4 separate regions of the Mus musculus genome follow, and all the other regions are reported to be linked to region 3. The links are microRNA targets in miRTarBase. Many come from high-throughput screens and were not tested one by one. Region 3 holds a microRNA gene; each other region holds the end of a gene's coding sequence.
What was found. Region 3 holds the annotated microRNA mmu-miR-3475-3p (UCUGGAGGCACAUGGUUUGAA, at 5,188-5,208, shown strand). A microRNA usually pairs through its seed, bases 2 to 8, with sites in the 3' UTR of a target mRNA and lowers its output. Matches are read on the target gene's strand: a 7mer-m8 pairs with bases 2 to 8, a 7mer-A1 pairs with bases 2 to 7 and ends in A, and an 8mer does both.

Region 1: the mRNA of Rnf150 is a reported target of mmu-miR-3475-3p. Seed matches in the 3' UTR shown: 7mer-A1 at 4,536-4,542.
Region 2: the mRNA of Chrna1 is a reported target of mmu-miR-3475-3p. Seed matches in the 3' UTR shown: 7mer-A1 at 2,775-2,781.
Region 4: miRTarBase lists Arhgef39 as a target of mmu-miR-3475-3p. Seed matches in the 3' UTR shown: 7mer-A1 at 1,154-1,160.

What each region holds. Positions count from the first base shown.
Region 1 is chr8:83,082,816-83,089,920 of GRCm38, forward strand. Rnf150 (ring finger protein 150) reads left to right here. Exons shown (of 7, transcript NM_177378.4): 7 at 621-7,105. The coding sequence ends at 739. Among named protein-coding and RNA genes, the nearest start is that of Tbc1d9, 79 kb to the right of the region's middle.
Region 2 is chr2:73,560,126-73,567,226 of GRCm38, reverse strand. It overlaps Chrna1 (cholinergic receptor, nicotinic, alpha polypeptide 1 (muscle)), which reads left to right. Exons shown (of 9, transcript NM_007389.5): 8 at 286-525; 9 at 920-3,946. The coding sequence ends at 1,051. It overlaps Gm30940 (a long non-coding RNA gene), which reads right to left and starts at 6,041. Exons shown (of 2, transcript XR_866434.2): 1 at 5,934-6,041; 2 at 1,849-2,027.
Region 3 is chrX:140,305,805-140,312,923 of GRCm38, forward strand. Mir3475 (microRNA 3475) reads left to right here and starts at 5,144; the gene lies at 5,144-5,208. All of the region lies in intron 3 of Gm32113 (predicted gene, 32113), which reads right to left. It also overlaps a transcript of Frmpd3 not described here.
Region 4 is chr4:43,490,257-43,497,375 of GRCm38, reverse strand. Arhgef39 (Rho guanine nucleotide exchange factor (GEF) 39) reads left to right here. Exons shown (of 12, transcript NM_001013377.3): 10 at 60-289; 11 at 467-555; 12 at 656-1,234. The coding sequence ends at 698. Ccdc107 (coiled-coil domain containing 107) reads right to left here and starts at 4,011. Exons shown (of 6, transcript NM_001037913.2): 1 at 3,840-4,011; 2 at 3,617-3,768; 3 at 2,121-2,181; 4 at 1,944-2,034; 5 at 1,755-1,867; 6 at 1,455-1,679. The coding sequence starts at 3,945. The coding sequence ends at 1,474. It also overlaps Rmrp.

The sequences.
Region 1 (7,105 bases), not on the chromosome of region 3:
TCTTCCCGCCTCCACCTCCGCGGTGCTGACTTTACAAGCGTTCACCACCATAGCCAGCCTCTATTAGTTTCCTACCACAATGGCTCACATTTAAATTTCTGACCCACTTAGAATTTATCTGGGGCTCTATTTTGAGGTGAGATTTGAATTAGAGTTTTTACAGAACAGCCAATTTTTTGTAAGACTTCTGGAAATAAAATTATTAGGTGAAAAGTTTATAACTCTAATGGAAGAGTGGAGTAGAATAATGATCTCTGGATGCTGGGAAGGGTAGCACTTTTTTAAAAAAGAAGTGCTAGTAGATGGGATGGAGAGTGTTTTAAACTGCATACTGCTCTTCCAGAGGCCAGAAGTTCAGTTCCCAGCATCTGAACTGGGCAGCTCACAACCACTTATCACTCCAGGGGAGCCAATGCCCCCCCACCAGGCACCTGCACTTGTGTGCACATACACATATGCAAACTCATGTGACAATCAATATTATATGCTTAATTAAAAAAAAACAAAACAAAACCTAGATCTTAAAAAGAGAAACACTACTAGGAACAATAATTCCAAAACGGAAGCATCCAAAGACATAGCTTGACGTTGACCATAAACTTTGCTTTGTCCCCCTTCAGGTGGTCAAGAGCCAGCACTGAGCAGTGACTCTGACATCTCATTAATTATGGCACTGGAAGTGGGCCTGTCTGATGTAGAACTTTCCACTGACCAAGACTGCGAGGAGGTGAAATCTTGAGATGGTAGAAATGGACAAGAGAAGACATAGGAACCAGGGGGACAGGAGGGAAGCATGCTCCAAGGACTGAACTGGATACACGACCTTCAGATCACCATGGCAACCCCAGGGCACTCTGTTCAAGGGTGGTAACGAAAGCAATATCCAAAGTCTCCCGAGTCAGGATGCGGGTTCCCATCTCTGCAACAACAGCCTGTGGCCTTGATGTGGAAGTTGAAAGCTGAATTTCTTGGTGTCTGTGTAGACGTGCAGCAGACTGGAAGGAGAACTCCACAGTTTCTTCACTTGACTTCAGCCTCTCCCATCTTCTTGCTCTTGTTTGGGAAAAATGGTTTCATTCCCTTGGCGACTTCTTTTTAAAGTTGATGTGTAGTTTACATCGATTGATTCCCTCCGTTTTCCCTTTGATCCACTCCAGCCCATGTACAGAGGTCTGCTTAGAAGTTCTGGTTGCTGGCCCTGTGATTGGTTTATACCACGTCTTGAGATTCATAGTCGCGAGTTATCAATATGACGTGTGTATGACTTTGAGGATTGCCTCGGCACCCTGAAACAGTGGAAAGGCAGATTTTACCAAGTGTCTAAACCCCTCCAATAGGTGGGCCTTGGCGAGCCCAGCTGCCAGACAGCCACACTAAGTTCTGGATCTGCTGAGCTGCTTGCTGGCTATTTTCCACTCCACTACATAGGCTTCCACTTGCCACGCTCTGTCAGGGGCCATCTTAGCAGGAGAGAACTGTCAGGGAGGAATGCAGGTCCTCTGACTGGAGGGCCTTAGTCTAAAACTCAGAATTCCCCAAAGGACACCATGACAAAGTTCAGAGTATGTGGAACTATAAGCCTAGTTTAAAAAACAAACAAACAAAACAAAACCTGATACCCTGTCTTCCCAGGAAGATGCCTGACTCCCTGATTTCCTCCAAAGCCTTAGCAGTTTATCACCTTCATAAATGAATTCCACGGGTACGAGGTATAGAAAAGATGAAATCAGTTTTTAGGTCACTGGCATCCAGGTGTAAGCTTATTTCAGGAACTCTCCTGTTAACCCTCACCAGCCTACATGGAAAGATCTAAATAAGTCCTTAACAGTTTCTCGGGTCTTCTGAGAGCATTTGGGTATCAAGAGGAGAACGAGGTATGATCTGATAAAGTCTGAATCAAAATGTGCATCATGGGAAATTGCTAAATTGAGTCTCCTCTGAGAGTTAGAATCAAATAAGATTACAAGGAAAATAACAAATGACTATCAAAACCCACCGTACTATAAAGTGGTTTACGATTTTATTCTCTTTTTGTCTGAAACAATAACAAAAGTGTGCTGTCTTTTGAGTAGACAGTATTGTGATACATGCAGCAATTCCAGAGACATAGGTGGCCACCTGTGTCCCTCTGGACAATCAGAAGGATCTCTTCCTCCTCCTCCTCCTCCTCCTCCTCCTCCCTAGCAGTTGGCAAGGTCATACAGAGCAGGGATTATCAGGAAAGCAAGCTCTTCCCACTGAGCTGTATTTATGTATTTGATTTGAGCTTTTCCACCTCATTACACTAATATCTTTCAAACATTCGTGAGCTGTAAATCCATGCTGCCCACTGGAATTTTGAGTCCAGGGCGATGGAATTCTCCACTGCTCCTTTTCCTTCCTTCCTTCCTTCCTTCCTCCCTCCCTCCCTCCCTCCCTCCCTCCCTCCCTCCCTTCCTTCCTTCCTTCCTTTCTTTCTACTTTTAATGCATTCCTATTCGATGGTAGAGAGCAAGGCAAGGAAAATGATAACAAGCTTCAGAAAAATCACCTCTGTCAAAGGTCTAGCACATCCCATAATTAATGCCCGCCTCCAAGGCCTGAGATGCTTCGTAGCGAGGAAGCAGGTGAGTGCTAAACCAGACTCTCTCCAATGAAGTTTCGAAGATGAGTCTCACTGTCCCCTCTGTCTCAGGTGACACATCTGCACTTCTCCAGGGGGGATCTGTGTTGTGAAAACAACTGAGTCACAAAGGAAATTTTAATATTTAGTCTAATGACATTGGGGTAATTCAACAACAAGAGAAATACAAAATTACATTGCATGACCAGACAGAAAAAGATCTGGTAGGTGTTTTCTGGCCAGTGGCCAGGTAAACGCTGATTATATAAGCAAGTCCTTGACCTAATACCCTACAGGATGCTAAGGAGCCCAAGAGGCCCACCCTTAGCCTGTTGATCTGACTCCAAGGAGACCCTGTGGCAAACTCCCTGAGCCTTTGACAGTCTCTGCTTACCAAAGAGTTTTGAAGGGCTTCCCTGTGACCTTCATGGCAAAAGAAAGATTAAAAGAAAGTTTTTCCTCTTGAGATAACTGGCAAAGCTCTTACTATAGACATTGCTGCTGCCTTCCGTGATGAGGAGGCCCTGACCTGAGGACCCAGTGAGCCACACGTGGCTATGCAGCCCAGGAGTGCCCACTGACTATGCATTTACAGGCATGCATTTTTCTGGAGCAAGTGGTGCACCAACTCTGTCCAACAGAAATACAGCCCAAGTCACATGCATTTTTTTTTCTAACTCCCGATAGCCACATTTTAAGAAGCAAAAAGGAAACAGGTGGAAATTATTTAATAGCAGTTTAATCTAATATTATTATTGTTTTGATGTGCAAATGATGTAGGGTGTCAGGAAAACATTTTCCTCTATTCTTTGTTACCTATTCTAAATCTGCTGTCTTTTACACGCCCAGCACATCATCATTATTACTAGCCACAGTTCAAGCTTTCCGTAGCCACATGTGCCTAGTGGCCACCAGCCGGGCAGCACAGCCCAAGAAATGTTCCAGAATCCTTACAAGTGCTCTCCTGACTGTGACAGGAGAAAAAGGATAAGATTACCTCAGGTTTTCCCCAAAAGAAAAACAGACTTTAGCCAAGTTACCTAAGGAGACAGCCAGGGATGTTCTTATTCCATAAGTAATAGCGGTTCAAATAGCCTTTATCAACTTTCTAAACACAGTGTCCACTGTCCTCAGCAACTGTTGCTTCTCTGACGAGCTGTTTGTTAAAAAACAACAAGACAACCAACCATGCTGATTTGGTGCTGAAATAAAATTACACCCTCACTTTTATGACAAACCCTGAGACTCATGTGAGAGACTTACACCCCTCACTTCTATGACTAATCCCAAGACTCTTAATGTGACACTTAGCCAAAGAGAATTTACCTCAACCCATAGTTCTTCATCCCTGTGGCTGCCCCGTTCTAAAGCAGTAGAACTCAGAGACAGGAAAGGCGCAGGAAACCGCAGGCCGAGCCACATACCCGGTCTGTGTGGCATTGCCGAGAAAGGATCTCTGAGCTTGTGGCCATCCAGCCTCTATGTGGTGAATGGCGAGCAGCTTTCTCTTCAGCTTTGTCCAAGGTTGAGAGAGGAAAAGAGCCCTGAACTCCCTCAGAGTCACTTTCAGAATGGCTTCCTCCTGCGTGGTTAATCCTTCTAAAGGGCTGCTGCCTCCTAAGAACAGCCTTGGGTCTGGCAGGGCCTTCAAGGTCAGTTCTGGTCACACACCCAAGGGATGGATATAGTATGGAGACAGGAGATGATAAGGTATCAGAGGCAATCAGGCAGTGGTGGCTCACACCTTTGAACCCAGCACTCAGGCAGGTGGATCTCAGTGAGTTTGAGGTCAGCCCGGTCTATGAAGCAAGTTCTGGGACAGCTACAGAGACAAATACTGGGTGGAGGCAGGGGCAGAGGTGGGGAGGAGTACCAGAGGCACCTAGCTATTTCAACATTGTGTGTGACATCCTGGCCATGGAAGCAAGTCTCTCTCCAGAGATTTGTTGTTGTTGTTGTTGTTGTTGTTGTTGTTGTTGTTGTTGCTTTAACATTTTCATCTGTGGGTATTCAAGGGTCTAGCCTGTTAAGAATGGCTGTGCCCAGTGGCCATTTTCTTTACAGCCCAGACATTCCTGGGACTACAACACTTCCAGAACCAAAAGAGAACATCAGTCTGCCTAAGATTCTTGGTGTAAGCTTAGTTGGTGCTGAAGTAGATTGCATAAGCATTTAATGGCATTTAGTTGTCCACTGAATGCATATCCTTGGCTGAACACCATGAAAATTACCAAATAAAAACTTTCAAAAATTTTAGGAAAGATCATCATGCAATCTACAAAGAGAAGGTCCAGTCTCTGCAGTGCTGAGGTACTGAGGCCAGGGAGATGATGTCCTGTAGAAGAAAAAAAAAAAAATTAAATGTATGAGTTGCTCTATCTGCATGTACACCTGCAAGCCAGAAGAGGGCATCAGATCCCAGATACAGATGGTTGTGAGTCCCCAGGTAGTTACTAGGAATTGAACTCAGGACCTCTAGAAGAGCAGTCAGTGCTCTTAACCACTGAGCCATTTCACCAGCCCCCATAGCATTCTTAATTTCCCTTCCCTTCCTTGCACACACACACACACACACACACACACACACACACACACACACACACACACTTTCCCTATCTTACACCCCATTTCCTTAAACCCTGTTCCTTGGTCCCCTCCTAATAGGCCACATTCGCACAAGAGCAGGATTTGCGTGACCTGTTTCTGCCATCTTCCCAGGGTCCTTAACATTTAGCAAGCCATGCTTCTTGGAAAGAACGTACGGCAAAGAGGAGCAGAGGCACTGCCCTTCAAAGACTGGGCTGCCTGATTTCCTGAGCAGTATTTCTGTCCATTTTGGGAGAGGACGGAGGAGCAGGGGTGATGGCTGAATTTCACAAGGGAAACGACCAGTACCCTGAAGGACATCCACAGCAGGCAAGATCCCAGATCAAAGCAGGGTGAGCTAAGGAGAAAGTCTATGTGGAAAACTGCCCCTCCCCTGGGCTCGGAACTTACCAATGAGTCCCAGGGAGAGCAGGTGTTGAAGGGAGTCAATAGTCATGAGTTAAAACGTCTTGATTGTGAAGAAGATTGGGATACTTGGCTCCCAACAGCAGGCCTTTCTCAGGAGGGTCAGACAGTGCTAGTTAAAATCTTGTAGATAGGGAACTATTTTATTCCACTGTGAGCTTCGTGGTGGCATGGTGTTATCATCCCATAACTAATGAAGTGAATGTAGATCCCAGATGTGGACTTTAATTAATTTAATCAGTTCCTTGTTCTGTAAGAGCCTGTCTCACTCACTCACTCTCTCCCTGTCCTATGTCCTTCATAATCAAATGGCTTTTTCTTGAACCTCAGTGCCCAGATCCTCTAAACTGGTGGCATTACAGATGCTCACCCTCACTGCAGAGCTGTTTGCTCTTTAGCCACTTGATATGTGTTCATTGATGAGGGGGAAGAGGAAGAAGAGGAAGAGGAGGAGGAGGAAGAAGAGGAAGAGGAGGAGGGGGGAAGGAGGAGGATGTGGGAGTGTGCTTCTTGTAAGACCTCTAAAGAGGCAGACAGGAAAATCTACAGAGAAAGGAGAGACAGTTGAGTGACCCAAAGTCATTGCTGGGTAGAAATTCTCTGGTGTGCGGTTCTTTGGCCAGCAGTGACCTTGGAGAAAATGTGAGGACCGTGTGTGCTAAATAAACCAAAGACTGATCAACATCCAAATGGACACATGTTCTTCTGTGAACTAGCTGAATTGTCTCCTGATGTTCTCACAAACAAAAGTCAAGGTGGATCCCTTGGGCATTTCAATTTTTTCAGGCTGCTGGTTGGCCTCGATAAATCCACAAATCTAAAACAATGGACTGTGGCCTTAGTGACACACATGCCATCTTTAAACTTTCGTGTTTAACCCTCTTTACTTCAAAACTTCAGACAAATCTAGCACTCATATTGAACTCAGAATAGTTTTCTTTGAGAATGTGAAGATTTTAAATAGCCAAAGATTTCTTCATGTAAGAGCTAGCCCATTGTAGTGTATCCTGCTCTTTGAAGTAAATACCAAATTGTCGCCTATTAGGGACAGAGCAGTTGAAGGCCAGTGCATGGGCTTAGCAATCCAAATTTGTGTTGCTGTCTTCCGAACCTGTCTGTAGAATTTTATTGCAAGGGTCAGAGCGCCCTCTGCTGGTCTGATACTTTCAGCAAATTAATTTGCAGTGGGTTTCCAAGTCAACAAATGTGTCTTGCATTTTCATCGGTACCATTCCTTCAATAGTGGAGAATTTGGCCAGCAGTTATCAAATGAAGAGAGAATGTCTTGAACTCTAGAGAGCTGTAGGAGACCTCAAAGCAGGCCTGTTTTAAAACGTTGCTGTGTTCTGTTGCTGTCTGGGATGTGTGTTGTCAGCATTGCTCTGTGTGGCTTTGGCTCAGCTCCGCTTCCTCCCACGAAATCGAGAAGGAAGATCAATAAGAGGACTTCTTCTTCCGTGTGAATGTAAATGGTGTGAAATAAAGCGTTTT
Region 2 (7,101 bases), not on the chromosome of region 3:
GTCAGGAACTTTCTGTTGCCTGCGGAAGAGTCTGAAGTATAATGCAGCGTTGGCGACTGCACACAGGCTCCCTCCAGTGGCTAACTGCTTACATTACAGAATCATAGCTGTAGAATGCAGCCTGGAGCCTTTGCCCTCTAGTACAGTCCTTTTGTTTTAAGGACAAGGAGGGTGAGGTCTAGAAATGCTGGGTGACTTGTCCAAGATCACATTGCTTACCCAAAGTCAGTGATTCTGTAAATACTGACAAAAAGTCTCATGCCAAGAATTTCTTTTTTATGTCAGGTTTTTATCGACACTATCCCAAACATCATGTTTTTCTCCACAATGAAAAGACCATCCAGAGATAAACAAGAGAAAAGGATTTTTACAGAAGACATAGATATATCTGACATCTCTGGGAAGCCGGGTCCTCCACCTATGGGCTTTCACTCTCCGCTGATCAAGCACCCTGAGGTGAAAAGCGCCATCGAGGGCGTGAAGTACATTGCAGAGACCATGAAGTCAGACCAGGAGTCCAATAACGTAAGCTGTGTGGCTCCCAGTCCACACCTCCGGGTCTGTCTGTCTGTCTATCTATCTGCCTGCCTCTGCCTTCTGAGTGCTAAGACCAAAGGTTTGCGCCACAACCTCTAAGCTAACACACCTCTGGGTCTAAATGATTAAATGCATAAGTGTGACAGGGAGGTTGACCAATGAATTGGCTTCAAGCTCTAGTTACTAACTTCAGATGCACTGTGTTGACTATCTCTGGCAACTATAGTAAGTCATTTTGGCTTAATTATGCAAAAACTAAAGGTTGTAATATCAGGTGTTGAGGTTTGGAGGTTTACATATTGAAGGCCAGGCCAGTAGGGGGCGCTATGAGCCTGTGTCCCATCTCAGGGGATTCCTATCTAACGCCCTCTGCTTCCCCCAGGCCGCTGAGGAATGGAAGTATGTTGCCATGGTGATGGATCACATCCTCCTCGGAGTCTTTATGCTGGTGTGTCTCATCGGGACGCTGGCTGTGTTTGCAGGTCGGCTCATTGAGTTACATCAACAAGGATGAGCAGAGGCTGAGCTAAGCCTACCTCTGTCCCAGCCATAGCCATCGCTAGGAAAGATGGAAGAGAGGAAGGTCTGTCTCCTTGAATCCTTTCACACTTACCAAACATGCAGTGTTCTACATGTCCTACATGTTAATGAGAGTGATCTCTGCTCACACGGCTGTATTCTTGAAGTGTCTCCCCTTTGCTTCTGCTTTTAACACTATGGGCCTCCTTAAAGGGCGAACCCTTTGAAGTAAATAAAAGTGAGCCCTCAAAAGAAGTGTTTGCTTCTAAATGGCCCCTGGGAGAGTTTTGCTTGGATACTCAAGGTTTTCTGTTTGTATTGCCATGGCTAGTTGTTTTTGTTTTCTTTCCTTTAATAAATATAATTGTACTTATATGAGTGATCCGCCTACGTGTATGTCTCACATACACGCCTAGTGTCCATGAAGGTCAGAAGAAGGTATCCCATCTCCTAGAACTGGAACTACAAATGGTTGTGAGCGTCCACATGGAACCTGGGAATCAGGCCCTCTGGAAGAGCACCCAGTGTTCTTAACCACTGAACCACCCACCTATCGGGCTCAGTTAATTTTTATTTTTAAAGTGCTGAGAGTCCCTTACTTAAGACACACGGTTTCATACCTACTAGAAAAGTCGTGTCTACCAGATTCCCCAGATTTGATGTGGACACAAAGGAAGTGGTAGAAAGGAAATTAGGTAACTTTAAACTTAAAAAAAAATTGTGTGTGTGTGTGTGTGTGTGTGTGTGTGTGTGTGTACATACTCGCACACATTGATGAAATTGGGGGACAACTTTTAGGAGTTAGTTCTCATCTTTTATCTCATTTGAGGCAAAGTATCTTGTGATTTCTGCCGCTGTGTTACATTCTCATGTAAAGCTTCCTGGGGCATTTTCCTTTCTATACTTCTCGGCCCATGAACAGAGTGCAGGGATTCCAGATGCATGCCGCCATCTCCAGCTTTTCATAGGTCCTAGGATAGAATTTAGGTCGTTAGGTTTGTCCAGCAAAAAACTACTTTTACCTGCTTAATCCATTTCACTGGCCCAAAGGTAATTTTAGGGCGATCACATACAAATAGTATCAAAACCTCATGGTTTAAAGTAGACTTCTGAAACCAGGAGAGGGAGAATGCTTTCTTAAGTGATTTCTGTTTGAGAGGCCTTCTTGAAAGGGCGCTTGGGATTCCTTGGGATTGTACCTAGAGCTTTGCACACAGAGCTATAACTGAGCCTCAGCTCTCCCAACTTAACGGAGCCCCTGGATTTTGTTCTCAGGACCCGAGGAAGGGCAGATCCCATCCTCATCAAGGGTGTGCCTCTGACCCCATGAGAATCGTCTCGCCCGCATGGGTTTATTTTATCCAAATTGTTTTACACAGTCTCCATAATGTCCCTAATTTACAAATGGAAAAAAAAATTTTTGGGGAAAGTTAAACTCTGCTCCATCTAGAAGTAGAAGAACTGAGATCTGAACCCAGACAGAACTTAAGATTCTAAAACAGGGGCTGGAGAGATGGCTCTATGGTTAAGATCATTCCCAGCAACCACAGGGTGCATGGTGGCTCACAACCATCTACAGTGGGATCTGATGCCCTCTGCTGGTGTGCAGGTGTGCATATACAAAGCACTCACACATAAATACATAAACAAACAAACAAATATTTTTTAAAGATTTATTTATTTATTATATGTAAATACACTGTAGCTGTCTTCAGACACTCCAGAAGAGGGCATCAGATCTTGTTACAGATGGTTGTGAGCCACCATGTGGTTGCTGGGATTTGAACTCTGGACCTTCAGAAGAACAGTCGGGTGCTCTTACCCACTGAGCCATCTCACCAGCCCCAAATATTTTTTTTAAAAGTCAAAAAGAAAAGGGATTCTAAACCGACTTGCAGCTGATGGGGTCACCTGCTCCCTGCTCTCCCAGCATGCCTGGCGTGATCTAAGTAGTTCTGGTCTGTGTTGGTGGGGACTCTGTGATATCCTATTTCCTGCCTTCTCAATTAAAACCCCTGGCTTTTCCTTCAGTCCTTGGACGCAATCATGTTTGGAGTTCAGGCCCTATGAATGGAACCAGAAACGTATGCACACACCATCACCATTTCTGAAATCTGAAAAATAAATTCTCTGTGCCAAACTCTAGGCTCTAGTACAATTTACCCAGACCAAGAAGCCGTGTGGCTCTGGACGCAGAAAAGGCCTTTGAATCACAAACACATCTGATCCGTCATCTCCAGGGAGAGCTATAAACTGCATAACCAGGAGGCCAGTGCGAGCCCAGGTGGCTTCAATCTCCTGAGGGACTTCCCATCACCCCTGCACCAGTGCTGGGCTCTTTCATCTCAAATAGTTTGCACTTTAAAGTGGAAACAATTGGCAGTTTCTCAGAAAGTCACACTCGGGTCACCAAGTCACTCAGCAGTCCCATTCCCAGGTAGAGAGCCAAAGAAATCGAAAGAAAGACTTACACAATTTGTATGAGAACGCGCACAGAAGGCAAGAGCCAGAGAAAGCGGTCTAGGCTCCAACCCACAGACGACAAGCAAAAGGGATGTGGAGAATGGGTTTTGGGGTGTATGTGTGTAGGCCTGGGGGGCCATCGCCTTTTTGTTTTGTTGTTGTTTTTGAGATAGAGTTTCTCACTGGCCTGGAACTTGCCAAGTAGTTTAGGCTGGCTAGGCAGGCCATTCCGAGATCTGCCTGTCTCCTCTTTCTGCAAACAATTTAGTTGGCATGGGTTCTGGGGCTCTTACTCAGATCTAAAAACAAGCATTTTGTCAGTTGATCTAATTCTTTAGCTTTTTCTACTCACGACCACTTTTTGCTTGAGAAATGTTATGTAGAAATATAAAATATGTATAAAAATAAATAACAAAGAAATTTAATTAAAAAAATTCTCTGACATGCATAGCATTTTATCACCTATTAAGGATAAAAAATAAATTTGCTTTTGAGAGGGGTGTGTTTATTTTTTGTCTAACACAATCGCATCTAAAGATAAACAAATTTGATACTTACTTGCCTGGGACAATGGAAGGTAAATATCACAAGTCTCTGTTTTCAGTAATTAAACATAATATGCTCTAAGAGAGTAAGGTCACCGCAGTTCATGACATTCAATAGTATCAAATCTGAGCAGAGGTAAATCAGTGTGTTCACTGGTGTTGCATATCGTGATGGCGTGCACCGTGCAGTGTTCGTGTGTGTTCAGACCACAAGGCAACTCGTACAAACACTGCCACAGAAGATCTCAGAATCACGCTGTGTTTGATTTTTGAGCTAACTTTTGGTAATTGCACATCCGGAACCTGTTTCTGCTGCCCAGTTTTTCTGAAACCCCACACCTGGTCACATGACCATGTGGCCACAAGGTAAACTCCACTTACACAAGGTCCTTAGAAATACTCAGGTAGAAATGGAGAAGAGGCTGTGGGAGGCTGGGGCGGGGGGGTGTGGGGTGTGGAGGGGAAATTAGGAGTTATCGTTCATGGGAACAGACTTTCACTATGGCAAGATGAAAAGTTCGGGAGGCGGACTGCTGTGCTGACCACACAGCATTGATACCCGAGAGCTGTGTTCCTAAAAATGGGTGAAGCGCCACAATCTATGTCTGTGTACGCTCTAACAAGGGTAAACCAAAGGCCTCAGCCCTGAGCTCTCACTACAGAGTCTGGGGATACACGGAAGGCATGCTTCATACACTAGGAAGTCAAGACCTCCAGTGAGTTCTCTCAGATCACAAATCCTGCCCTTTGGCCATGTCTTTTTTTTTTTTGGTACACGTGTTCTCTGTGCATGTGTCTGTGGCCAGAGAACCTCTGATGTCATTCCCCAGGTGTCACTAACCATTCTGATATTTTGGTTGTGAGTCTAGTCTTTAGTGGCTGAGCCATCTCTCCAGCTCTCAACCACCGTCTTTTTAAAAGGCAGGCTCTCTTGCAGATGCTAGGCTGGTTGGCTGGTGATCTTGTGGATCCGCTGACTCTGACTTCCCAGAGTCGGGATTTCAAGTGTGTGGCTGCTGTTCCCTACTTTTTGTTTTTAAGTGGGAGTTCTAAGGATCAAAGCCAGGTGCTTGGAAGGCAAGCGTGTTACCACTGAGCATCTACTCAGCCCTATCACCATACAGTCCATTGCTTTCCAAGCAGCCATGACCTTCCCCCCATGTTCTCCACTCCACCCCACCCCCATCCTAGACAGCTTGGCCCCGTGTAGCTACAGTACTGCATCAATGTGCGCTCCATTAAACTCCAAAAATGGCTCTGTCATTCTGTCCTCAAGCCAGCGTCTCATTAGTTCAAGCCTGATTTTCAGAAGGCTACCAGTAAAATCGGTACAGGGACTTCCGGGAACTATCGCCACCTAGTGGTGTTTGTGAAAGGGTCCAGCCTGTGAGTTCCGTGTGCCTGTACATCTATTGGGTTGGCAGGCTGACTTCCGGAGAAATGAGGACCAAGAACACAAGGCAGGTGCTATCTGATAGAGATGAGTTTTCAGGATCAGGACTGGAGGACCCAATGTAGGGGGCGGGGTGTCTCAGGACTGAGGAGGGTTCTTACAATGAATTTCCCCAACCTGGGTGTTGAGGCAGCATTCACACGCACCCACACACTCATTGGGGTTGCAGTAAAGACTGAAGTGTCTGCACTACTGTGTCCCCCACTTTTATATGCTAAACCCTAACTTCTTTGCAACTGTATTGGAAGATGGGGCCTTTGGGAGGTAACCAGCCTTAGGGAGAGTCTTGAGTGTGTTTTGACAAGGAGAGGCATGCCAGAGAGCTTCTCCCTCCCTCCCTCCCTCCCTCCGTCCCTCCGTCCCTCCGTCCCTCCCTCCCTCCCTTCCTCTTTCCCTCTCTCCATGTGAGGACGGACCTTCTTGCATCCTGGTGGTGATGCTTGTCACGCTGGTGAGAACAGGGACACTGTAGCAGCTGGAATGAGCTTCAGCGTTCCAGCACACACCCCTCTCCCGCACCCCCCCCCCCCACCCTCCGTACTCGCCTCTACAATCAATCCCCTTCTTCCCTCACGGAGCTTAAAGCAGAGGCCGTCACGGGCATGGTTTCCACCGGACGCAGGGCAAAGTGAGGCTAAAAGCTGACGTCACAAGGAGCTGAATTGCCGGCACATCATGGGGTCCTTGCTGTTCTCTGGTTCCACTTCATCCCTCAGGGTGTCCAGGTGCCGCCCGCACACCAGGCTGGGAGGATGAATTGAAGCCCGGATTGGGTGGAGTCTGCCGGATCCTTGTCCGGTTGGGTGTGAGTGGCGGGGCTTTACTGAGGAGTTTAGTGTTCCAGCTCTCTTGACCGATTCAGTAAAGCAGTTCTTTTAGACGATATTCAATGAGACAGCTTGTGCATATACACTTTTTTGTCAGATGAATCAAGGGCAATATATGAACCTTGGAGGTGGAAAGGAGTTCTTCTTAGCTCATTGAGGCTTCATACGGTGAGGATTCGTGGCTGAGGTGTAATGTTCTGGGAACACCTCATTTGCATGGAGAGGCACTCCAGGAATCCCAGGTGTTTGCTGGGTAGGTTCTTATCTGGAGAGAGGAAACTCGACCTGTAATTTTGTCAAGGACTATGTGACATTCCTCAGATAGAAGATTGGGAGCCAGGCTCCTCACATCAGGCAGAGAAGCAGAAAAGGGAATCCTCCATTTTGCGCCGAGCTTGGGAAAGCTGTTGAGACACGGAGGACCAGAGCCTTAGTCCCAAGGTGCAACACTCTGGGACAGGAAAAGACCTGGCAGATCTGAACCAAGTCTAACATTTGCTCATAGTCAGTACTGGGTCAGTCTTACACACTTCCTCTTCACAAATACATTAGTTATGCCATGAAGGGAAACTTGGTGAAGGTCATTTGTGAGCTCTCTGTACCCTGTGCAACTTTTCTCTAAATTAAATCTACCCTGGCAACAACAACAACAGCAAACAAATAACATTGAAATGCTTAGCTGGTGTGGTGGCTAATTTTCAGTTTTCAACTTGACTTGATGGAGAGATACATGGAGGTTCGTAGAACACTCCTCTGA
Region 3 (7,119 bases):
TCCAAGAGCACCAGGCTGGGGCCTCTAGACTTTCTGCTGCACAGCTGCTCCAATAGCAGGTGGGCCTAGGGACCGCCCCCTAGAGAGGAGGGCTGAGCTAATGTGTTCTTGTTCTCAGGCTTGCTCTCCAGCTCAAGATGCTCTCCAACCTCGGATGCATCTGGGCCTTTGGAGTTATTCTCATCTTTGCCCTCCACTCCGTATGTGGTCCCTGCCAATTTATTACTCATCCCCACCTTGTGCCAAAGATGCCTTGTCCTTGTCTCTACCAATGTAAAGCATGTCAGCTTTCAAGGTCTGCCTAGAGCCTCTCCTCCTCCAGGCAGCTTTCCCTGATTATGAAAGTCTACTGAGCATTCCCTTCTCCTGTTTCTAATGTTTGTCCCACAATCCCTGATAATCACAGACCATGGCTCAAGCTGAACCAGAAGGTAGCTAGTTCTATCCAACCATATCTGTAAATGTTAGCTTTATTCCGTCACAAAGGCAACATGTCCGTCATAACAAGTCAAAAAGTACAGAAAGATTTTAAGAAGCAATTAATCTCTCCCCTGACTCCTCACAGCTCACGTCGTCTCAGAAAACCAATATTCTCAGAATCAGTGTTCTGCCTCTGCTCAAACAGACACATATACATACGCATGTAACCTCTCCATGTTACTGTAAAGTTATTGAAGGCCAGAAAGGGACATAATTTTTCCAAGATCACACAGCTGGCTAGGAGGTGAGGGAAAAATTAGAAGCCTGGTGGCCAGCCTCCCAGTTCCCAGCCTGGTGCCCAGCCTCCCAGTTCCCAGTCTGGTCCAGTTGTGGCTTAGATGCTTCCTGAGAGTCTTCTGTCCCCAAGGGGGTGGGGTGGCAGGAAGAACCCATGTGTTCTTCTTTGCATTTTCCACAACACCTAGCACAGTTTTGAGCATCTGGTCCAGGCTGTTTACTAAATGTTTGTCTCCTCGTTTTAACTTCTCTCTGAAACAAGCTACAGTATAAATAAAGAAAACGAAAATGTTTGACTCGGTGCCCGGCTTCACTAGACTGTAAAGCTGAGCCACGCAATCATACAGAAATTGATTGTTAAGATGGCTAGGATAATATATATATATATATATATATATATATATATATATGCAGCTGAAGTCTTAAGTGATTGGTAGCTTTGTACAGATATCTGAAGGCAGAACCAAAAAAGAGCTTGAATGGGTGAGAGATGTCTGCTCTGTGCTGTGCTAACAGAGTCATGAGCTTGCCTTAGGGTGGGGTCGGAACTGTTCTGGAAATGGGATTGAGGGCCTTGGGTACCACATCAGCTCTTAAACCTTCCACTCTGCAAGACTAATGGCCAAGTCAGCTGCTGCAGTCTGGCCCCCTCCTCACAAAATGCTGCTGAAGCCTCCACTGGCTACAGCCAAGGATTTAAGGCTCCTCTCTCTGTCTGAGAACCTGCTTTATGGCCACGATGTTCCTTTGTGGCATAATGGTGCTGAGACTTGTATAGATTTATTTGATGTATTTGTTTCTTGTTAATCAGTTGTGAGGGGAGAGGAGACTGGGCTGGAATGAAGGCCATTACCTCTACCCACAGGGATTGTCTTCCTGCCTCAGTGCAGCCTCTGGCCACATCAGCTGTTTGGGAGGCAGAACCCTTGGGAAAAATCATAAACACTAATTGAATTTTTGAACTGCAACAAACATTCGAAATTATCTAACAAGATTATTAATGCCTCCTATTAAAATAGCATTTCATAGTTTATGAAATGACTATATGTGACTCATTCTTTTGATTTTAAGCATAGATTCCTTTGTTTATTTAAAAGGAAAGATCCTGCCAAGTGGAGAGTAGATGGTTGTTAATTTCTTACATGTGAAAATGGCATTGTGGTTACTGTTCTCGTATTAGGAGGTAAATTATCAAATATTTAGAGAATGATGTGTCATTGATTTTGGAAACCTTAAAATGTTATAGCATTTAAATAACATAACTAGGGCCAGAGGAATATGGAGTTGTTGCTTAGTGAGTTGGTTTCTGGAGATGGCTTACCATTGTTTTTGGGTTTTGGTTTTTGTTTTTTGTTTTTTTGTTTTTTTTTAAAAAGCTAATGACGCTATCTGTACACTGAAAAAGTTACAGTGGAAAATGTTATACTACCACAATTATATGAGAAGGAAGAGACAGGCATAGGGAACAAAACTGGCAAAAGTCTTGGTAAATGTTGAGTCTAGGTGACCAATACAAAAGAAATTACTAAAATGATCAAAGTACCTTGTATACTTATATGAAAGTTGTCTATATAAAAGTCAGTACTGGTCTTAAGTCTAAATTTAGATGCTCGGTATATTTAAAAATATTTATCATTATAAATGGACAGAATCAACGAAACTCTTAATGTGAGCAGGCTTGTAAAGAAATGAACATATAGCTTTCTGTAGCTAACCTAGATCGTACTAAAGATGAGTCATGTGTCCCAAAAGCACTCGGAAGATTGGAGCACAGTGATGGAGAGGAGGCAATGCCTGAGTCATTGTGTGGCTGTGCATTCCTGGTTCATTGACAGGTAAGATGGCAGAGCTATACCAGTTGTCTACTGTGGCTGATTGGAGCGAGCAATGAGCAAGTTCTGAGGTTACAGCTACCACAGCTCATCATTAGGGTTATCTCATTGGTTCTGAATTATTCAACGGAAGATACATTTTGGTCCCATGCCCCCTACAGGTCATGGTGGTACTTGTCAGTCATCCATGAATGAGTGGAGAATGGAAATGTGACTGACATTTTCATCAGCTCATTTACATTAGCTTTCTACCATCCAGCTCAGAGCTTCACATCTCACTGCATATCTGGTCGGTGGGACTCAGCAGAGCTCTCAAAAATTGGCCTGTCATGGCATGACGGTAGTGGTAAATGGCCCCAGCTTTGATAAAAAGGAGACATCAGTAGAAAGGACCAGTCACTTGGCCTTATTTCTATATGATCTATTGGTCACTTGAGGTTTTGCTCATGGGGAAGTAGGAGGGACATAACAAGGCAGAGAAAGAGTCACCCATCTTCCTGCTAGCAGTATGTGAGGCTTGGTTCAGAGCTCAACAAATAGAGCCATTCGGTTGCAGGCCAGCTCACCCAACCACACAATGAATGGTACTTTGTGGGGATCACTTTGTCCCTGCCTCTACCTTGCTACACCCTCCCAGCTTCAGCCCCACCAGACAGAAGAGCTCTCGGCCATCCCAGTGCAGGAGGAAAAGGGACAGGGACATAATTTGCATTTTCCCTTGGCAAGCCTTTGCCTAGTGTCTACATCAATCACTATAAAGGATAAATGCCACCAAGAGAATGGAGAGAGAGGGAGAGCGAACGAGAGAGAGAGAGAGAGAGAGAGAGAGAGAGAGAGAGAGAGAGAGCAAATAGAGACAGTGAGCTAGATTGAATAAACCTGCCCAACTCCTGATAGAGCGAGCAAGCTGGTCACAGGAAAGCTAGCCAGAATGAATCCTTGGAGATTCTCCTGAATCTCTGGGACTTCAGCCTCTAGGAAATTAAATCTCCTCCTGTGTCATGTTTGATAGCTGTGTTCCAAAATCATTGAGTCTGGGTCTGGAAGAAATCTGACTGTTCACAAGGGCCTTATGCAGAATGGGTATAACAAATGAAAGTAAGTGGATAGAGATAGGCCTGAATGCAGTATTTTTCTTAGTTTCGTTTTCTTCCTGGTATTGTACGTAACTGCATGTAAATAAGCCAGGACTTACTGAAGGCAAGGAATTGACCCAATACAACCCAGCTAATTAGTTGAAGCAGAGACCCAGAATCCTAATCCAGTCTTTAAATGGGGGTGGGGCAAATTCTCAAGTAGCTCTAGCTGATCTTGTACTCACTGTGCAGCTGAGGATGGCCTTGAACTCATGATCTTCTTGTCTCCACCTCCCAAGTGATGGGATTATAAGAATGTATTGCCACGTCTGGTTTAATCCTGTCCTTTTACAATAAACCATAATGCAGTATGCATTGCACAAGGAAACAAACAGCACACACACACACACACACACACACACACACACACACACACACACCAAGTGAAGGACTCTTTTCTTTTCCTGTACCTTTGCCAGGCAGTCCTAATTGAAATGTGGCCTTGAGAAAGCATCCCCACCCACTTCCCTGTCTCTCCATCCTCTTGCCTGTCTTCCCACAGCAAGGTAGCCATGCTCTGGAGTCAGGCCAAGGTCCAGGAGGTCTTTACTCTCTTTCCAGCCTGCCCCTCCCTCTTTTGTCAGCAGAGGCTTACTGGAAAGGCCACTCTGAAATGAAGATAACATCTGTGCGGTGCTTGTTAGTAGTTAACTGCTGGCTGACTTCAGGCTTGGCCATCTCCCTTGGTCTTGCCTGAGCCTTTTGGTCTGCGTTTCGCTTTCCTGGTTTTTACCTGTAACGTTGAGCATGGGGCTCAACAGCCTCTGCCCAAAGGTCCACAGCTTTCCTTAACTCAGCTTCTTCTGTCTAGTTTCTATAGAAGAGGAGGCAAAAACCAAAGCTAACACAGGCTTTGAAAGGTCAAGATACCTAAGAAGAGGAGGGGGCCTTCATCTGTCTCCATTATACAGATAGGGAAACTGAGGATTACTATCATGGTATCATGGCTTCATTTTCATCCCAGTGCAGAACATGAAAGAACAGCATCCCCAAAGAGCATGCTTGGATAGGAGTTCCATCCAATATGGGCAGAGTGATTAAGTAGCAGTCATATGAAGGGCAGTCCACTGGAGATGTTGGAAGACATAAAAGACACGTATTACTTTTACCATAAAATAAAGCACAGTTAAACTACTACTTTTGGTAAGCAGAAAGTTCTGGAAAATAATTCCCTCAAAAAAAAAAAAAAGAAAGAAAGAAAGAAAGAAAGAAAGAAAGAAAGAAATTGCATCTTCACCTTAATCTTACAGCTTCCCATTGCTCTGGTGACCCAAGCAGGTTCTCCATTGACCCGGCCTTTGTATGCTCTGAAACCAAAGATGACAGGGTGTAGGCCAGTCAGTCTTCAACAGCTCGGTCTTCTGAGCTCCAATATTGGGGAGGATAACACTGATGTGCTGTAGTTTGAGCTATTCCACGCAAATGAAGAGGCCTTCACCAAGACTATGCTCTGCTCCCCAAATCATGTACCCCCACAGAGGGTCCAGATGGTTCTTAGTTCTTCTGGAGGCACATGGTTTGAAGAGCAGAGCACAAGACTGGATTTTCATTCCTGCTCACCATCTTGGCCGGGTTGGACCGCCTCATCCTGCTGCTGTCCGGATTCCCCAGGATTCTCACTCAGCCTGGGATCTTCTGCCCTTGGATCCTCCTCGCCTGTTTACCCCAGCCGCACCCTGTCTTAGAAGCTTCTTGTTATTCTGGTAAAAATAAAATGTGCTAACCATTTGTTAGAATTCAGATTCTGACTAGCATGCCCACTGTTTGCTGTGCCCTGCCCTCCACACAGCTATCTACTGTATAAAAGAGAACACATCCTTAGACTCTGCTGGTAGGGCCCAAATATAGGACTCTCCGTGGAGCCCCCTCCTCTTGCTTCTTGCTTGCCTGTCTGAATAAAGGGTGGCACTGCTTTTCACTGCAAAAATATGTAGACATCAGCTGGCAGATGGCAAAGAGTGACAGTGGCTAGAGACGGTCACCTAGAGAGCTTAATTGTGCCCATTTAGCACTGTGCTAAGACCCCCCTGCACTGCAGGTGAAGAACTAGATCGAGCTGGTGAGTTATGCGTGGTATAAAGGTGGCTGAGGAAGCAGGTGGTTCCTTGAGATCAGTATATCCCCTTCTGGCTATACTCAAAGGCTCTGTCCACCCCACCTTCCAGACATGACAGCCTTCCAACGAGCTGCTTGTACTGTCCCCATGGGCTGAAGATTATGCTGCTAAATGAACCTGAAGCAAACTGCCCAGTAGAGTCAATCTAGAGGAGAAAGGAGCCTTGGGATAAGATCAGTCAGTGGGGAGATCACAAGGGGGAAGCCAGTCTTCCTAGAAATCTGAACTGGGAAAGGGAGGCCAACAATGGCTTCTCCTCTTCTTCCTCAGATTCCTCCTCCTGCTCTTCCACCACCTCTTCCACCTCTTCCTCATATTAACCAATTCAAAGGAGGGGTATCAAAAACCTTGAAGAAATAAGAATATGAATGGAACACAAAGAATTCTCTCAGATCCCAGAGCCAGAGAGAGGCAGGCAATGGAAGAAGAGGTGCAGAAATCCAGCAGCACCCACCATCAATCTTCAACCTTGACAAGTGGCATCAGTCCTAGGGTGGGGAAGAGGAGCTCTAGTGGGAGCAAATCTCCTGACCAGTAGGGAGCAAGGAAAAAGGAAAAAAGAGACCAACAGGAAACAGACCAAGCACTATTCTGCAGTGTCCACAAGCAGTTAGAGAAATCGGGAAATAACATTCTTCAAGGAATGTCTAGACCAGGGAAATCCAACTCCAGATAGATCTAAGACAGGTGGGGATCTTTGGAAAGTCTAAGAACAGTATCTACTGCCACTCAGGATTAGGGTTTTCCAGCAGCATCCTCTAACAGTGCAAATAACCTCCGAGAGTGGGTATGAACTCCCAATGATCTAATAAGAAGACCAAGGCTCTCTTCAGGAAAAGACAGAACTGTTAACTGGTAGGGTACACATTGACTCCCAATACTTAGAGACATAGGCAGATGACTCTCTCTGAGTTCCAGGCCAGCCTGGTCTACAGAGTGCTTTTCAGAGCTATGCAGAGAAACCTTGTCTTGAAAAAAAAAAAACTGAGAGGGAGAGAGACAGAGACAGAGAAAGGGACAGAGACAGAGAGAAATTCTGCTTCTTCGCCACTAGAAATGTCTACCTCTCAGTTCTTCTAAAGTCTATGGAAAGAACTACACACCTGGCAAGAATATTGCAGTTGCGTCAGATCAACCAAGAAATTTGGTGAGCAGTAAGCAAAGGGACGGTGGCCAGGAGTGAAGGAGCCTCTGGTGCATAGAGTGAGCATGGGTTCCTCTGCTAGGAAGGACACTCCGAAGAAGTCTTGCTTGCTTAGGATTTGGGGGTCTCTTCAGAGGCCCCAACATAGTTGGGATTTCCTTCTGGGGAAGTGGA
Region 4 (7,119 bases), not on the chromosome of region 3:
TCTCTCTTGTGTTCCTACGGATTCTTGAGCTGTACAATAACAGTGCTCTCATTTTCAAGGCCGCTGGTTCCTACGGCAGGGCTGGCTTTTAGTGGTGCCTCCCACTGGGGAGCCTCGGCCCCGGATGTTCTTCCTTTTCTCCGACGTGCTCCTCATGGCCAAGCCTCGGCCCCCACTGCACCTGCTGAAGAGTGGCACCTTTGTCTGCAGAGCCCTGTACCCTATGTCCCAGTGTCACCTTAGCAGGGTCTTTGGCCATTCGGGAGGACCTTGTGGTGGTTTGCTCAGTGTAAGTAGTAGATGGGAAATCTGGGCCCAAAATATACTTGAAGTAGTTGTAGACCAGCCCATCACTTGAGCTAGCTCCCTTTTGGGGCTGAGGTTTCACACTTATCCCTGAGTTAGTGTCACGGGACCAGAGAGGGCCCCAGCCTGACTTGCTCTGAACTAACTGGTTTCTCCTTAGCTGTCCTTTCCCCATGAGAAGCTACTGCTTATGTCTACTGACCAGGAGGAGCTGTCACAGTGGCACCACAGCCTGACTCTGGCTATCAGGTTAGCCGTGCTGAGAAGGAGCAGCGTCCCTCACAGCCCCTCCCCCACCCCGTGGGTGACTGAGGACTGACCCGGTGACCAGACTGTTTTCTTCCCACAGAAGCCAGAAGAGCTCGACCCACAGAAGTGTCACTGCAACATGACATTGTCATCTACAAACATGCTGGGGCCATATTCACAGCTATCCTGGGATACACATGGCAGCTGGGTGTGCCTATGAAGAATCTTACAAATTCCAGAACTCGGATACTCAGGAATAGGGCAGAGCCACGAACAAAAGGGAATGTACTTCGATTGAGCCTCAGTGGAACAAGTCCCTTTAACGCCCTGCCACTGGGGGGCCTGAAAAGCCCCTGCTGTCTGTGGCCAGCGGTTAATCCCATTTGCAGCTTTGAAAAGGAGTCCATTTTGTTGTTATTGCCTATGGTTTCCTGATTTATTCTTGAGAAAGGATCTTACCCAGGCTGACCATGAATTTGAATTCCTTCTGCCTCAGTCTCTCAGGTGTTGGGTTATAGGTGTGTGCTGCCACACCTGGCTATTGTATATAGTTTGTTTTCTTGAGACAAGGTTTCATGCAGTCCAGGGTGGCCTTGAACTCCAGATCCTCCTGAACTACCTCCTATGTTCTATAATTTATTTCCCCACTGGATCTTAATAAAGGGTTGTTTTTGCAAAAGCCTTCCTGTCTAAATCACGAGAAAATGGAGTTTGAGCCTTGATGGCTGGCATCTCGGTAGCCTCAGAAACACAAGGGCAGAACTGTGGCTCTCTCTCTGTCTTCTCCATTCACATTCTGGAAGGCAGTCTCTCTCTTCCTAATAAGGGAAGAGTGCTTGGCTTTTGCACCGTGTGTGTGTGTGTAGCAGGGAGTGGAAAAAGCACAGAGGAACACCCAGTACGAGGGGACTCTTTTTACTAAACCTTCAGTGGTTGTTCCCCATTTACTGCTGGACCCTTTGTCACCGTCTTGTGCCACCTTCTCCTCAGCCCCTGCTCCACCTCCCAGGAAGGAGCTAGGTTCCGTGTTTCTGGGCTCCAGGTTATGGGCTCTTCCCAGGCCTGACTGTTTCCAGCTTCTTGGTCTTCTTTCCCCAGGTCCTCAGTAAAGGGTATGCTGGCCTCTGTGAAGGAGAGACCAACTTGCTCTAGTTTCACAGCCATGGCTCTCCAGCCATAGAAACCTCCCAACCTTTTACCTGGTTCTGGAACTTCCACTCCTGTGCCAGGCTGGCAGTCTTGTAGAAGGTGGTGGATGGTCTTTAGTTTTGTGTCTAGAAGTTCCCTCTGGGTTCCAACCAAAGTCGTCACCCTGTAGAAATACCCACTCAGGGGGCTGCCCAGTCTGTCTCCTTGGCTCCCACCTCACCCACCCCACAAATTCTCACTGTTCAAAAAGGGGATCCAGCTGTGTCATCAGGTGGTTCAGGTGCTGCTCCGTCTGGGCCAGCTGTTGTGTCAGCTGCACCAGCTGTTGCTCTGGGAGTGAGGGAAAGGGCATGGTTACTCCTGCAGTCCCCTGATCTACTCCATCGCCAGAAACCACCACTAAATGCTCAACCCACCTGACTGCGAGGATTTCTTCTTGTTTTTTTCCTCTCTGAGAACAGCAGCCTCATCTGGGCCCTGTTGTGGAAGCAGATAAAGACAAGGCTGCAGCAAAGGCCCCAGCACCTCAGAGCCAGTGAAGAGAGGAGCCATAGAGAAAGCTCTGGGCATCCACCTCAGAGAATCCCAGTTGTCTCTAGTCCAGCTGCTTACCCAGAACATGAAGTGAAACGTCAGGATGCCCACACATGGCCAGACTGCTAAAGCACTCCTGGGAATGTGAAACTCTCCAGTAGGGACGGGAAGATTGCTCTTACCCCAGCCTTCTTATTTAGCATCCCTATACCTCGCTGCCTTTGAGGTAGAGTCTTGCTAAATTGTCCAGATGGGCCTTGCACTTACAATCCTCCCTCATAGTAGTTGGAATAATAGGACTGTGTCACCAGTTCCTGTACCCTCAGTCTTTGCTGGTGAAAAAAAAAATCTCCAATCTGTTCAATTCACATTATCCCATTACAGATTAAAAATCTAAAACAAAACAAAACAAAAAACCCAACAACAAAAAGTCTATATAGTGCTCTTTGCTCTAAAAGGCAGTGCCCTATGGTTTATTTTTAGGATACAATTCTCCCAGTGCTCTGATAGGTAGATAAAGCACAAGCCTCCTTCAGAACCTTTAATTGGAAAGTGGGTTATCATAACACCGTGAAACTGTCAGCCGCCATGCCTACCTCTCTTCCACGGGTCCCGCTCCTCTTCTCAACTGCTTATGTATTCTTCTCCATGCATAAGACAGAAATACTGGTCTCGAACTCACAAGAGCTGTTCCTGCCTCTGTCTCCCCTGAATGCTGGGATTAAAGGCGTCTAACACTACGCCTGGGTAGAATTTATTAATCTATCTTTAAACTCCAATCTTCATCCTAGCCTGTCAAGTCTGCCTGGCTCTTTAATCTCATCTAGTTTTATGTTACTAATTAGTTCAGCCTCTATTCCCCTGTGCAAGTAATTGACCAGAGTTGAAGATAAAGCACTGGGTGGTAGGTTCCACTTTCCATGTCAACAGTTTCAAAGTAATCAGAATGTACAGTCAGTTCACATTTCAGGGTTTCCTTCCTAAGGAGAGCACGAAACGGCTTGGTGTCTGGTCCACTAGACACTCTGTTGCTGCCGCGATTAACTCCTTGGGCCAAGGTTGGAGCCTCAGCAGCAACTTCTTTTTTTGCATACTGACACTAGTTGGGTTAAAACCCCACTTACATCAGACACTAAGTGGATGAGCTCCAGATTGAAAATCGATCGTCACTGGAGAGAGGAGTAAAAGTAACGGTTTCTACAATTTCTCAGCCCCCTACATCCATTATCTCTCTGGATCCTCGAATGCCCCAATAATGTGGAAAAACCAAGGAACGAGCCTTCATTTTACAGGTAGCCGGGAAGCGGTTGTTCTTGGTACTGTAGCGGCCCCAGGAGATTAAGGCCCAGGGCTCCCACAACCCACCGCCATACCGCACCTGCAAACACTTGAACAGCACAAAAGCCACGACGGCCGCGGTGTACAGAGCGCCCAAAGACAGCGATCCGGCCCGGGCTCGCTCGCGCTGATCCTTGGGTGGCGGCTGCCGCCGAGGTTCGGTGGTTCCCGGACTGACCTGGGAGCCCCGTTCTGTGGATTAAAGCCATCGGTCAGTTTCTACTAGGCAGTCCCAGCCTCCCTCCAGCAGCTCTCGCAGGTACCTGGGTGTGCCCCCAGATCGGCGCTGGGGCGCTCCCCAAGGACTCCAAAAGGCGCAGACACAAGCAGCAGCCCCAGAATACTCAACACGGGGCCAGCGCCCTCCATGCCTGGCCCACCAGAATCGCACGCCGGGTACCCCGCGTTCCAGCGCTGGGCCTCCGGCCGTAGTGCGCACGCGCAGGAGACCACGCCTACATCGGGGGGGCTGAGTCCCTTAAGGCGGCCACGCCCATCTCAGGATGGGTTTAAGCAATATTTGCATAAACCACGCCCACCTAGCGTTCCTACATTAATTAATGACCTATCTATTTATAGCTTTCTTAAACAATTATGTCTCCAGAATCTTTCAGGATAAAGTATCATGCCTAAAACAATGGCTCATTGTTTTTCTACCTAGAGAGACCAATTTTCTCACCATAACCAAAAAATTAAGCCTGTTGTAGAGTCATAAATTAGTCGCGCCTAGAAGCTAAGGCAGCTCGCTCTGAAGGCCTGTTTCCTAGGCTACATACGAGGGACATGTTCCTTATCCTTTCGCCTAGGGGAAAGTCCCCGGACCACGGGCAGAGAGTGCCGCGTGCACACGCGCGTAGACTTCCCCCGCAAGTCACTGTTAGCCCGCCAAGAAGCGACCCCTCCGGGGCGAGCTGAGCGGCGTGCAGCGGGGCGTCATCCGTCAGCTCACATAGTGACGCAGGCAGTGCGACCTGGCTCGCACCAACCACACGGGGCTCATTCTCAGCGCGGCTACACTTTTATTTATTTATTTTTGTTTGTTTGTATTTTGGTTTTTTGACAGGGTTTCTCTGTGTAGCCCTGGCTGTCCTGGCACTCACTTTGTAGACCAGGCTGGCCTCGAACTCAGAAATCCTCCTGCCTCTGCCTCCCGAGTGCTGGGATTAAAGGCGTGCGCCACCACGCCCGGCCACTTTTATTTCTATACAACCTTCAGAGCCAGATGTGAATGTACTAATTAGGAAATCAAGGTCACCCTTTCCTAAGAAAAGAAGAAAGAAAACGGAGACAAATCTGAATTCCTAATTTATTCTTTAATAGCTGTAATTCTTTTTTTAGACTGCTAGTCCAAAGAGAGCAAGACTGTGGGTTTTGCTTTTTTGTTTTTTTCCATTTTACTGTCCGAGCCTAGTCACTTGTTGCTAGGGGAACTTGAGGAAGTGAATGAAATTAATGAATGAATGTTCACAGCGACTCAAAAGGCAAATATACAACTAGGTCCTTCTGGGTCTCATGTAACCTGGGCTGGCTTCATTCTCATGTAGCTGGAGCTGGCCTAGAACTCCTAACCCTCCTGCTTCCATTTCTCAAATGCTGGGATTATGTAGTAGCAAGCACATAAGATTCACAGAGCTGCCAGATGTGGCACCACACTCCTTTAATCCCAGCAGTGGGGAGACAAAAGCAGACAGATCTCTATGAGTTCAAGGCCTGGTCTACATAGTGAGACCCTCTCTCAAAACCGAACAAAAGGAATGAAGACTGAAGTGTGGACACTATGCCCCTCCTTAGATTTGGGAACAAAACACCCATGGAAGGAGTTACAGAGACAAAGTTTGGAGCTGAGATGAAAGGATGGACCATGTAGAGACTGCCATATCCAGGGATCCACCCCATAATCAGCATCCAAACGCTGACACCATTGCATACACTAGCAAGATTTTATTGAAAGGACCCAGATGTAGCTGTCTCTTGTGAGACTATGCCGGGGCCTAGCAAACACAGAAGTGGATGCTCACAGTCAGCTAATGGATGGATCATAGGGCTCCCAATGGAGGAGCTAGAGAAAGTAGCCAAGGAGCTAAAGGGATCTGCAACCCTATAGGTGGAACAACATTATGAACTAACCAGTACCCCGGAGCTCTTGACTCTAGCTGCATATATATCAAAAGATGGCCTAGTCGGCCATCACTGGAAAGAGAGGCCCATTGGACTTGCAAACTTTATATGCCCCAGTACAGGGGAACACCAGGGCCAAAAAGGGGGAGTGGGTGGGCAGGGGAGTGGGGGTGGGTGGATATGGGGGACTTTTGGTATAGCATTGGAAATGTAAATGAGCTAAATACCTAATAAAAAATGGAAAAAAAAAAAAAGAAAAGAAAACAAAAACAAAAACAAAAAAAAAAAAAAAAACGAACAAAAGACCAAGACAGGGTGTTACATTGTCTGCTCTAAGCTGTGTTGTTTGAGACAGTCTCAGTAGCCCAAGATCCTTCTGAGATAATCTCTGGAGTGCTGGGGTTGCTAGAGATGCAGCCAGCATGTACCTCTCTCCCTGTTATCTTTTACCTCTGCTACATCTTCAGAGGGCCATCTTCAGATCAATAGCTCTCGGAATGAAGAAACACGTTCCATTTGCATCTCGGTCTCCAGGACTTGGCAATCACCAGGCATGAGGCACACGAGTGTTAAATAAATGAATAAACCATGAGAGTCTTATCTTGTTTTCCCAGAGAGGGGGGCATAAGGACAGGGCAGGGCAGGGCAGGGCAACAGGAGTTGTTAAAGTCTGATTGCTCCAAGGCAGCTTGGATGGGAAAGAAGAGAGGTACAAACCTGGAGTGGCTGCCAGCTGGCATAGTGTGTGTAGATAAATTCAGGTTCATTCTAATGGGACAAATGACTCACTGATGGCTGGCTTTTTGTTTTGGGAGTTTTGAGTCAGGTAGTCCAGGTTGACCTCAGAACTCTTTGTGTATATGGTCAAGTACGCTCTAGAACTTCTGAAACGCCTGCTTTTTCTTCCTGTACACTGGGACTCTAAGTGTGTGCCACCAAACCTGGTCTCCAGAATAAGGTTTTGTTGTTTCATTTTGATGGTACGGGGTCGGGGTGTGTAGGCTCCCCCAGCCTGAAGCGGGTTGGTACAAATCTTGTCACCATTGAGGTGGGGCCACCTGTGGTGCAGCTTTCCACCCCCTTATAAACACGGTTTCTTAATAAACTCATGGGCCTTGATCAAAACCTTTGTCTTGGCTCCATTATTTCTCTCGACCATCTAGTTTCTCTCTTTTCAGCCCCAGCCTGCCTCCCAAGAGTACCCCAGTTCTTATAAGCCTCAGGCCAGCTTACTACAGAGGTGCTTCTAGCCATGTCCTCACACATGCCAGGCAAGTAGTCTACCACTTCACTATAGCCCCCAGCTGCTTGTTTTTAGTTTTAGTTGGAGATAGGATCTCATTCTTTAGTCCAGGCTGGATCCTAACACATAATCCTCCCGCCTTAGCATTCTGACTTGTGTCACACTGTCTGGTTCAGATTGCT